3 linked regions of the Cricetulus griseus genome follow. The protein of the gene in region 2 interacts with the protein of the main gene of each other region in a pairwise test. Links are inferred from orthologs where the notes say so. Each region holds a gene or a part of one and is shown on either strand. Other genes may lie near its edges.

Evidence for each region.
Region 1: the proteins of Khdrbs2 (region 2) and Rbm3 interact in binary tests that used the Homo sapiens proteins (3 or more experiments, as listed by UniProt). The link is inferred for Cricetulus griseus from reciprocal best matches to the Homo sapiens genes KHDRBS2 and RBM3.
Region 3: the proteins of Khdrbs2 (region 2) and Hbz interact in binary tests that used the Homo sapiens proteins (3 or more experiments, as listed by UniProt). The two-hybrid records come from large-scale screens. The link is inferred for Cricetulus griseus from reciprocal best matches to the Homo sapiens genes KHDRBS2 and HBZ.

What each region holds. Positions count from the first base shown.
Region 1 is NC_048604.1:114,619,179-114,622,857, forward strand, and holds Rbm3 (RNA-binding protein 3), read right to left. Parts: upstream 2,217-3,679; coding exon 2,114-2,216; intron 1,902-2,113; coding exon 1,795-1,901; intron 1,154-1,794; coding exon 1,048-1,153; intron 959-1,047; coding exon 865-958; intron 604-864; coding exon 543-603; downstream 1-542. UniProt on the Homo sapiens protein: Cold-inducible mRNA binding protein that enhances global protein synthesis at both physiological and mild hypothermic temperatures. Reduces the relative abundance of microRNAs, when overexpressed.
Region 2 is NW_023276807.1:15,381,096-15,384,748, forward strand, and holds part of Khdrbs2 (KH domain-containing, RNA-binding, signal transduction-associated protein 2), read right to left. Parts: intron 1,223-3,653; coding exon 1,076-1,222; intron 1-1,075. UniProt on the Homo sapiens protein: RNA-binding protein that plays a role in the regulation of alternative splicing and influences mRNA splice site selection and exon inclusion. Binds both poly(A) and poly(U) homopolymers. Phosphorylation by PTK6 inhibits its RNA-binding ability.
Region 3 is NC_048600.1:45,948,050-45,951,313, reverse strand, and holds Hbz (hemoglobin subunit zeta), read left to right. Parts: upstream 1-1,321; coding exon 1,322-1,416; intron 1,417-2,221; coding exon 2,222-2,426; intron 2,427-2,538; coding exon 2,539-2,667; downstream 2,668-3,264. UniProt on the Homo sapiens protein: The zeta chain is an alpha-type chain of mammalian embryonic hemoglobin.

The sequences.
Region 1 (3,679 bases), on a different chromosome or scaffold from region 2:
TTAAAAGGGAAACAATGTTTAAAGAACACATGGAGCTTTCTAAAAGGTCTTTTAACAAAACTACCTTGGGAGCTCAATTCAAAAATAGAACTCGAAGTACTAAAACAGATGTTTCAGCGCAGCTCCAAAAATCTTTATAAATACAGCAATTTGGAAGGACGATCCTGGATCAGAAGTATTATTCCTTGTGTATCTGAGAATAGTAAGAAGGGGTAAAATTTTGATGTCAAGAAGAAACAGACTGATAACATGATCACCTCCCAGAGTTGATAAAGATGCTGCACACCACCTCTTTACTTCTACCATGCCCCATAGAACTTGACTTTAGGACACCCCAACCCTGCAACTAGCTTTGGCATGCACCTAATAGCAAGACCAACCAAATGGTACTGACAGGGTAAGATACCAAGGCAGCAGAGATAAAGGGTGGTGTGGCTGGAAAAAAAGCAAAAGGGCTAGGACAGGAGGGTTTGAGGAAACAAGTTTGACTCCACTCAACGCCATATTTAGGTCTCACCTACATTATGTGTGCATGCCCCATCTCAGTTGTCATAATTGTCTCTGTAATTTCCTCCTGAGTAGCGGTCATAACCACCCTGGCTTCTGGGAAAAAGTGGAATAATTTTACAGGAATGTATTCTACACAGCAGACAGTAACATTAAAAACTATACATGCCAATTTCATAATAGTGCATTCACAATATAAATAACTTTTTGTGGTGATGGATAGTAAGCCCAGGGCCCCTCACATGTTGGGCAAAATATCTTTGATATATCCAAGCCACATAATACAAAACTGAATATTAGGCTCCTGAATTATCAAGAACACCAGTACCAGAGGTATCCCAGTCTCTCAGTACCCACCTGCCACTATAGTCTCTGGACCGCCCATATCCATATCCATATCCTCCAGGTCGACTGTCATATCTTCCGCTTCCATAGCCCTGGTCTCCACCACCTTTATTTCAAAATAGCAGTTGAACGTTCAGACATAGGCTTCTAACAAATGACTATCTCATCTCATAATCAAATCACCATTGCACTTACCTCTAGAGTAGCTTCGACCACGCCCATGGGCCCCAAAGGCACCCCCTCTGCTTCCCCGGGCAGACTTGCCTGCATGGTCCACACGGATCTGGCGCCCATCCAGGGACTAGGTGTGGGAAGGAGACAGACACAAGGGAGTGCTGTCAGTCAGTCAGAGTGGTGACTGAATAAGAATGGGCACAGGCAGATGGACAAGAGCCCAGAAATTCCTGCTGGGCACCAAATTCTGGGTGCCATGTTCCAGAGCAAGCTCCTCTGACCAGAATGGCTTCACCAGGAGTTACAGATTCATTCCCACAAACGACCTGAATCCACCGTGCTCCCCTGCTACTACTTACATCTTGACTGAATTCAGGCTGAGTTCTCCTCCCCACTCCTCTAAGCTGCCCGACTATTAGGGCTAGACACCTCTCTCGGTTTGAGGCTTCAGAGTCCGTCCCAGAAGACTCACGAGGTCCTCTCCGGGCCAGGCCCACAGGTCTGCAGACTCTACTACCTAAGCCCAGAGCAGGTCAACCATCCACAGGTGGCTTCTCGGCCTCATGCAGGACCAGTCGTCGCCTCCCAGGCAGCCCGGCTCTGTCTGCCGCTGCCCTCCACCCCCTAGAACAGAAGGCAGTCATGCTCCTGTGAGTGGACACTGCGGGGCTTTGTGGCCACGCTGCCCCTGGCAGACATAGAGGGAAAACAAAGAACGAAGAAAGTGGCAGACAGGGAGAAGGCTCCTCTGCAGGCAGGAGGCCTCACCTCTCCATTCATGGCTCTCATGGCATCTGAGGCATGCTCTGGGTTGGTGAAGGTGATGAAGCCAAAACCCCGGGATCTTTGAGTCTCCCGGTCCTTGACAACAACCACTGGGAGGGACAGAAATGTAAATGTTAGTACCCTAACATTTAAGTGCAAAGGAGAACGGACCCCCCCCCAATCCTGCATCCCATTGCATTTTTCTCAGCCTAACCGTATCTTAAGAAACACGTGAAGTTAAGGAGAATTTCAAGTTATAAGTCCCAGACTAAACTAGCTGTTCTCTACCAACCCTCAACCCGTGGGCTGGTCCATGGCTCACCCTCAGAGATAGGCCCAAAGCTGCTGAAGTGGTCTTCAAGTGCCTGCTCATCGGTGTTGAAGTTGAGCCCTCCCACGAAGAGCTTCCCTTCTTCAGAAGACATGGCAAAATGCAAATCCTATAGGGCAAATATGCGGAAATTGGGGAAAATAGTTAATGTGGAAGTGGTGAGATGTCTAACACCTGAAGACTGAGAATTACAGGGATCACAAAAGGGGGGGTTAAGAGAAATAAATCAAACGGCAAGAGACTCAGGAGCAGAAAAGGCGGGAACCAGCAAGCCAGAGAGAGCTTGTCCGCCATTTGCCGACCGCTACGGCGCATGCCCACAACATCCCATACCACCACACCCGTCATTTTGTATGGTCGCGCAGGCCTACAAACAGCCTTGCATTTCCTCTTTCCCTGCAGAACAAGATGGCGGCGGTCACGTGGGAAGAGAGAGCCGGTATAGGTTGTCGCGTGGTCATTCCCGCCACGGACCCAGCCCGTCCCTTCCGGCATTTCTCCCGTTCGGATGCAGCACGCCAGCCTCCCAAATGGGAGATTTTCCTTCGAGCCTGGGACTCGCCCTCTACGGAGAAGCTCAAGCCTACGTGTCAGCTGCCGCTACCCTCCCTACTCTCGTCACCCGTCCCTGGCGGGCAAGGAAGTGAGGCGAGGTACGACCGCTGCGCAAGCCAAACGCTGCTTACCTGGACAAACCTGCTTAGAAGCAAAAGGGCTGGAGACACCGCGAGCTCTAAGGAACCGGGAGAAGAGAGAGGCTGCCGCGCGGGAAGACGCCTGATAAAGCGTGCGTAGCAGATACGTCACAGAACGTACCCCAGCGCGCCCCGACGTGCGTGCTCATTGGTTAAGGGCAGCGGGGGCGGGTAGAGAGAGAGGAAGGCGGAGGAAACAATTCGCCTTGCCGCTTCCGGGAATAGAGAGGAACTTTAGAGTTCAGTGCATCTTAATATAAGCATCTCTGTGCTAGCATAGAGATTGCCCCCTCCCTTTTCCATCTACAAATGGTTTGATTCATATAGCGTTTTCCTCCCTGACGTCATTTTCACCGCATTTGACGTCATTTCTCCCCTTTGACAGCAAGTCCCTAACTGACAGTAGACCAGTGCCAACCAACTACCATCCTCAGCAATCAATCAATCTTATTTACTTCTAATCCTTTAACCTCATATCCCTTAAGGCCCCAATGTTTTATCCCTCCATGTCTCTAAAGTCATCACCTTCATAGTTCTTGATGTCATGCCCTACATTTTTGAGTGCTGAAACCCCTACCCCTTATTCATCTCTGCCCAACACCTAGTATTGTTATGGGACCCTTTACCTTGGTGTCATCCTCAACTCGCATCCTTATCTGACAGTCTCTTTAAGCCTCATATGCTTTCAACAGAACAGGTATCCTATCGTCAAAGGGTGCAAATCCAACCCACAGGATGAATATTGCTCCCTAATACCTCTTGATCAAAAGGGTTGAGTTTTGCAATACATAGTGGAAATCCAAAGCAAGTAGTGTCTGAGTCCACTGCCTGACAATTTGGTCTTTCCCAGTATTTTCTGACT
Region 2 (3,653 bases):
TAGGAAGGTTTCCAGATGAGACTCAAATAGTAGCTATGCACATGCAATTAACAGATACTCAACTTAGTGTGACGTTATTCGATAATTGTGCCTTGACAAAGATTAATATTGGGATTGGACATGTAACTAGAAAATGTGGCTAGAACTTAATGCTTGTACACTTAAGGGAATCTATGCTATTTGTCCTTTCCAATTTTCTATACCACTACTAGTCCATGGATCTTATCTGCCGGCCACCTTCTCTGAGGCTTTTACTGAGTACACAAATTTCCAGTTTCTTCATTTGTAAATTAACCTCAGCTATCTATGTTCTGGACTGAGGATCTTTCTAAGCTCTTCCAGGGAACTTTACTCAGCATTCTCTCAATATCTCATAATATCTCAAGCCCCTGGGTAAGACTTATACTGAAGCCCTTGTTTCTAGAATGTTCAATTGTTAACCTTAAGAATCTATGCATTTATGTTCCCCTGTCTCTTGGGAAATCAGTAGAGAATGCAACTCAGTTTGCATCTGAATTTTCCATCCTCTATTATTCTCACATTGCATGGTGAGTTTAAATTTCTAACTGTCTAAGTTAACATTTATATGCCTCTGTTAATATACCTTGTACTACCTGACAGGCTACCACACAAAAGGCATTTGTTACTTTAAAATACTATCATTATCTTACTATAAATAATACATATTCAATCTCATCCATCTTTTTATTCTACATTTTCCTACGAATTATAAATTATCAAAATACATGTCAACGGCTTATAAAAGGGAAAGGTGACATAAAATCATGTACTTTTGAGCATACGTTTCTCTTATTAGTGTTTCTGGCTGTGGATTGATGTATACAATACACAGGTTGGTGATGAATACTCATGTCAGATGAGAAGAAAGTGCCAACATGCCAGGTCTTGTAATAAGTGTCCTGTGTGCCCAATTTATTTAAGATTTGTATCAAATCTATGCATAGAAAATTAATGTGCAGTGTGAACTCCCTTCCAAAAAGTTACTAGAGATCAAAGACACAATTTAAAACTAGGAATGGATAAGAAACAGTTTGTAAATTCAAAAATCACTTACAGGAACCAGGAATTTTTTAATCTCTTCCAAGGCATGACTCATCCGTGAATAAGCCTCGCCAGGTGGAGCAAACACTTCAATTAATACATGCAGCTCATCACTCAGGTGTGCATACTTGGCCTCCCCGCTCTTCCTCAGCTCTTCTTCCTGTAAAAAGGTTATTTTTAGAAATACGGATCCACTCATTTTGCATTGATTTAACATTTCCTGAGATTATGACAGGGCCACAATCTAAGTAAATTTTCCAAAAGTAGGAGGAAACTGTTGGAGAAATGATAATTTGTTGCAAGCCAGTTGACAATTTTCAAATAATTCTTCAGAGTTTAAATCATCCACAACAAATTTCAATAGGCTGGGTGAAATGTTAACCTTTTGATGTTCAGATCCCTAATTGCTGTTAATCCTTGCACACACATTACTATGTTCTTGAAGGGCAAGGTTCTTTTAGTACTTGCTATATAGTATATGGTACTTAATGATATTTGCTGCTCTGATAGAGGACAGAACTTGGGTCCTCAGAACACATATTGTTCAGATTCCATTCACCTGAAAATCTAGCCCTTCTGTTTTGTTCTACACATACACACACACACACACACACACACACACACACACACCAAGAGCAGAACTAAGAAAACTGCATCCATGCAGCCTGTTTGCTGGCTTAGCTACCTTTATTCACTCATACAGTTCAGGACCTAGACTAGGTGCCACCTACAGTGGGCTGAGTCAACTGACAACCAAGACAGTCCCTTGTGGATACGCCCACAGGCCTATGTAAGATAATTCCTCAGGCAAGACTACCTTCCCAGGTGATTCTTCAGTGTAGCAAGTTGGCTTTTAAAATCAGGCATTATGTCTTAATTTACTAAAGATCCCTTCAATAGAAGTACAAATGTAACTTACAGGAGCACACTGTGTGACCTGAAGCTGGCATATTGCTATATGGACACAGAGTAGTCTGAGCAACTCCAGCAAATGGAGAGTCCTTAATTTTGTGAGTGTTTGTATAGCTTATAGAAAATAAGATAATCTAAGTTGCTGAGGTGACACATGACTGTAAGCCTGCTACACTGGAGCTAAAGCAAGAGAAGCCAGTGTCCAAGACCCAAATGGGCAGAAAGAGTGAGCTCTTCTCCCATGTTACAAAAATAAAAAGATAAATGATAAACAGGCAAGCCAGCTTTAGATTTCCATGCAAACACTATGAAATGCAGAAAAGTTTCAAATAAATGCCATATTGTTAATACCAGAGAAGTTAAAGCTTTATGTTTCTTCTGGGATGGAGCAAATCACTTAATTATGGGTTTCTTTTCATGATTTTAAAATTTTTGATTTTTTTATTTTATCTATCTTTTATTGATTTTTTGTGGATTTCAGATCATTCATCCTGATTGCACTGATCTCCCTCTCCCCTGGCATCTTCCCTCTGCCTATGGACCTCCCCACTAAAACAAAACAAAACTTAAAAGAAAAAACAAAAAACCTACATCCCTCCCCCCCCCACCTCCCATCCCCATCTGTCCCTGGTGCAAACTTTCCCTCATCACTACCCAGGCTAGCCCTCCAGTACTGCCTCAGCTAGCTTACCAATGCAGCCTACAGCAAGTGGAGGGGCCAGTCTCCTGCTGCAGGTTGTCAGATCCTGCTTGGCTGAACTCACACCACCAGCAACAGCTCTACTATTTTGCCCAGGTGAAGTGAAGGGCCTTCTCTCCTGATTACTGTAGCTGGTAAATGGAGGGAGGGGGGTGGGATCAGCTCTCCTACTCTAACACTCTCAGGCTTAACTAACCTGTGGCCCAACAACAGGGTCAGCTCTAGTGTGCTGCCCAGGTGAGTTACACTCCTGTGGTGCCATGCCTGTGGTGCATGCCTAGTCTGTTTCATGATAACCAGTGCTAATAATCCCCCCTTCCACATGTTAGCATATAAATTTGGCAAACTTTGACTCACTATTTGAGATGTGTAGCTGCTTACCCACAGAATGCTGAAAGTAGTAAGAATAGTCACATAGCAAGATGTAATCACACATCACTATTGGTAAATGTTCTCAGCATACATAGCTCATGTTCAAAACAATATATCAAATTATGCATGAACAAAGGAGTTCATGTCTTCTAAGATCCAAATTAATTTTCCACAAGTAGCTTTTCCAGTGACACAAACTAAATAATAGAAAAGTTGAAAATGCATTATGTACAGTATATGCAGTTTTATACTTTGGTTTCTACTTTAGCAATCATTATTGTCATATTTTATCCCAAAAGTTATAATTTACTAAAGTGCTTTTTGCAGGCTTTTTCTTCTTAATGCCTGAGGGATATTTTGTCTAACATAAACCCTCTTCAGAAATAAATAAGTCTATTGTCTGAAGGACTCTCACCATCAAGAAGTTCAAATAAACACACATTTATTATTCATATTGTGGCCTGAATGGGATTTGTGTAAATCCCCAGTTTAAAAACATTTTTTAAATAGGCGTATGTAGAAAAATCTTAAGTCATTATAAATAAGTAGTGTAAATTATATACACACAAAAGAGATACACAAGTACATGGTACAGAAATAATCACTA
Region 3 (3,264 bases), on a different chromosome or scaffold from region 2:
GAAACCACCAGCAAGAAAACACCTCAGTTCAAAAGTGGACTAAGTACTTGGACAATGAGGCTACCAAAGATAACATATGGGTGGCAAGTAGCCAGATGGAGAGATCTTCCACATCACTGGCCATCGGAGGAACATGATTCTCAGCCACAATGTTATTATACCACTATTTACCTGTCAAAACAGCCAAGATTCAAGAACTCTGGCAATGATACTCATAGTAAAGACACTCACGAAGACAGTTTGGCATTCCTTATAAGGTTAAAATATGCATTTTGCATACGCCAGCAATTTTACTCCTAGCTATAGCTGTGTCTACAGACACGGAGATAGAGACATAGAAACCTGTGTTCATGCATAGCCTTCCCTATGAATATTCAAAGCATCTTTATTTGTAATAACCTTACACAAGAAACAGCCCAAAAGTCCTTCAGTGAATGAAAGGGTAAACTGCTGCAGTATTCATACCATAAAATAAAGAGTAGCCAACTGCTGATACTGCAGAAGAAAGAAGCCAGTCTTAAAGGACAGAGTGCTGTATGATTCCAGTTATACACATTTTTGAGAAACATGGATTAGCATGGCTTAGGTTGGGAGCAAGAGGAAGATGAGACAGCAAATGGGTGGCTGTGGGGGTTTCTGGGATGGCAGGGCTATTCTTTATCCTGATTGTAACTTGGTTACATAAATCTGTATGTGTGTCATTTCAGAAGACAATGAGCAAATCAACTTCACTACATGTTAAGATAAACTAAAAGAATCATTTGTGTTTCTCCAGACACTGGTTGCTATGGAGGGCTATGGTGCAAATGGATGATTTTCTTTTGTTAATCTGTCACCTCCTGGTGGGAGCAGTTTTCCATACTCTTGCCTCCGTGCTGAGTGATAGGGACTACTACTTCCTTGGAGGAAAACCAAGAGTCGCAGGAACTAGGGGACAGGGTGGCACAAACAATTTGTGATTCTGAAATGAAGGACAGTGCAGATCTGGACACAGGAATGGCCTCCTGACATGGCTGGGCCCCTATCTCTCCTGGTCTCTGTGCAGGACTATGACCAACACCACCCTTAGCCGAAGGGGAGTGGGCAAGAGTGATAGCAATTGACCTCGAAATCCCACTGGGTCCTGTTTCCCGTTGTGGGTCACTGTGTCTGATAACAGGCCCCACCCTACAAGCCCCCTCCTCTCTCCCAACCAGTGGCCGCAGCCTGGCAGGGCCCCTGACTTTGTGTATATAAGGGGACACTGGAGACAGCACCATCAGGCCAACCCTGAGTGCTTTCAGCTCCAGCACAGCCTGCAGTCCTCACCACCACCACCACCATGTCTCTGATGAAGAGTGAGAGAGCCATCGTCATGTCCATGTGGGACAAGATGGCTTCCCAGACCGAGGCCATCGGCACCGAGACTCTGGAGAGGTAAGTCCAGGCACAGTCACTCCAGTCGGAAGCCAGGGATCAGTAAGAAGGGGGTGACAAGGAGGAGTTAGTGGGGAGAAGCCACTGAGAAAGGGCCATGAGGAGGGGGTGGTAAGGACGGGCAGTGAGGAAAACACGGTGATGAAGAGGGACTGGCCGTGAGAGCAATGCTTGTAAGGAGGGGATCCAGGCGGGCTGATGAGAAGCTAGAGTAGGTGGATGGACATTCACAGCCCTCATCAAAGTCCTCCACATGGCTCCACAAGTCTTTGTTGAATGAATAGGAATGAATGGATGAACTCACCAGTGGATGCAATGCCTTGCCATATGGAGCCTGGTGCAATAGGAAATAGTAACATCAATCTTGGGTTTTGTTTTTTAAGATTGAGAGAGCGAGAGAGCAAGAGAGAGCGAGAGAGAGCGAGAGAGAGAGAGAGAGAGAGAGAGAGAGAGAGAGAGAGAGAGAGAGAGAGAGAGAGAGAGCGCACAGGTGCCAACGAAAGCTAGAGGCATCAGATCCCTTGCACCCTAGTTACAGGAGGTTGTAAGTTCCCTTCAAGGGCAGTCAGTGCTCTTAATCACTGAACCATCTCTCCAGCCCCTAGCTTTATTTCTTTAAACACTGTGTAAAATATTGTTTTGTTTTCTTTTTCTGTCTGGTAGGTCTTTGTGTACCCCTTAAGTTTTGAGCCCAAGGCAAGAGCCAGGGTCCTAGCCCACCACCTAATGAAACACCCACACCCACCCACCCACACACCCACCCCCACAAAAAAAAAAAAAACTAACGCTTTCTCCCGACCCCCAGGCTCTTCTGCAGCTACCCACAGACAAAGACCTACTTCCCGCACTTCGACCTGCACCACGGGTCGCAGCAATTGCGCGCCCATGGCTCCAAGATCTTGGCTGCTGTCGGCGAGGCCGTTAAGAACATCGACAACCTCTCGTGTGCTCTGACCAAGCTGAGTGAGCTGCATGCCTACATCCTGCGTGTGGACCCTGTCAACTTCAAGGTGGGTTTGTGAGAATGGAAGGGGAGATCATCAGGGAAGGACACAAAGGAGGAAATCGAGTGGGGTCTCCGCGGCACTGTGCACTGAATCTCCTCCCTTCTCGCCTCTGCAGCTCCTGTCCCACTGTCTGCTGGTCACCCTGGCCGCACGCTTCCCCGCCGACTTCACAGCTGAAGTCCACGAAGCCTGGGACAAGTTCATGACTATCCTGTCTTCCATCCTGACTGAGAAGTACCGCTAAGCCCCACCGCCACGACCCCCAAGACGGGCTACGACCCCTCTCCTCCCCTTCACTGAACCCTCCCTCGGGTCTTTTTTTGTAGCCCCCAATAAATGGTTGAAGATGGAAATAACTGGTCCTGTGTTCTCAGTCTTGGAGGGAAACCGGGATGGGGACGCTAGGGTATGGACAGGGCCTTCGCAGAAACATTGTGGGTCCTAGTGTCACACACTGCCTAGAAGACATTCCTAGGGTGGTTGGGGGAGGGTCTTGCCCTTGAGAACCCCAGAGTCAGAGCATCCCAGGGCCAGCTGGACTTCTCCTCGCCTTCCTAAATCTCTTCGAACAGAGTGGTGGGTGATCAGGAATTACCCGAAATCTGACATCACAGCTCCCTCCTCCCTAGCAGCTGGGGGAGGAGGTGTCCCTGTCTTTAAAAGAACAGAGGATTTCCTGGCCGATTCTTGCTGGCTCCATCCTGACAGAGCTGTAACTGCCTTCATAGGAGTAATTACAAGTTCCGGGAGTTCGAAACGAAGACATCCATACACAGGAGCAAGCGGAGCCTGTACCAGAAGCCCCATCCGCAGTTGTCGCTCTGGGCATATTTCTGTGCAC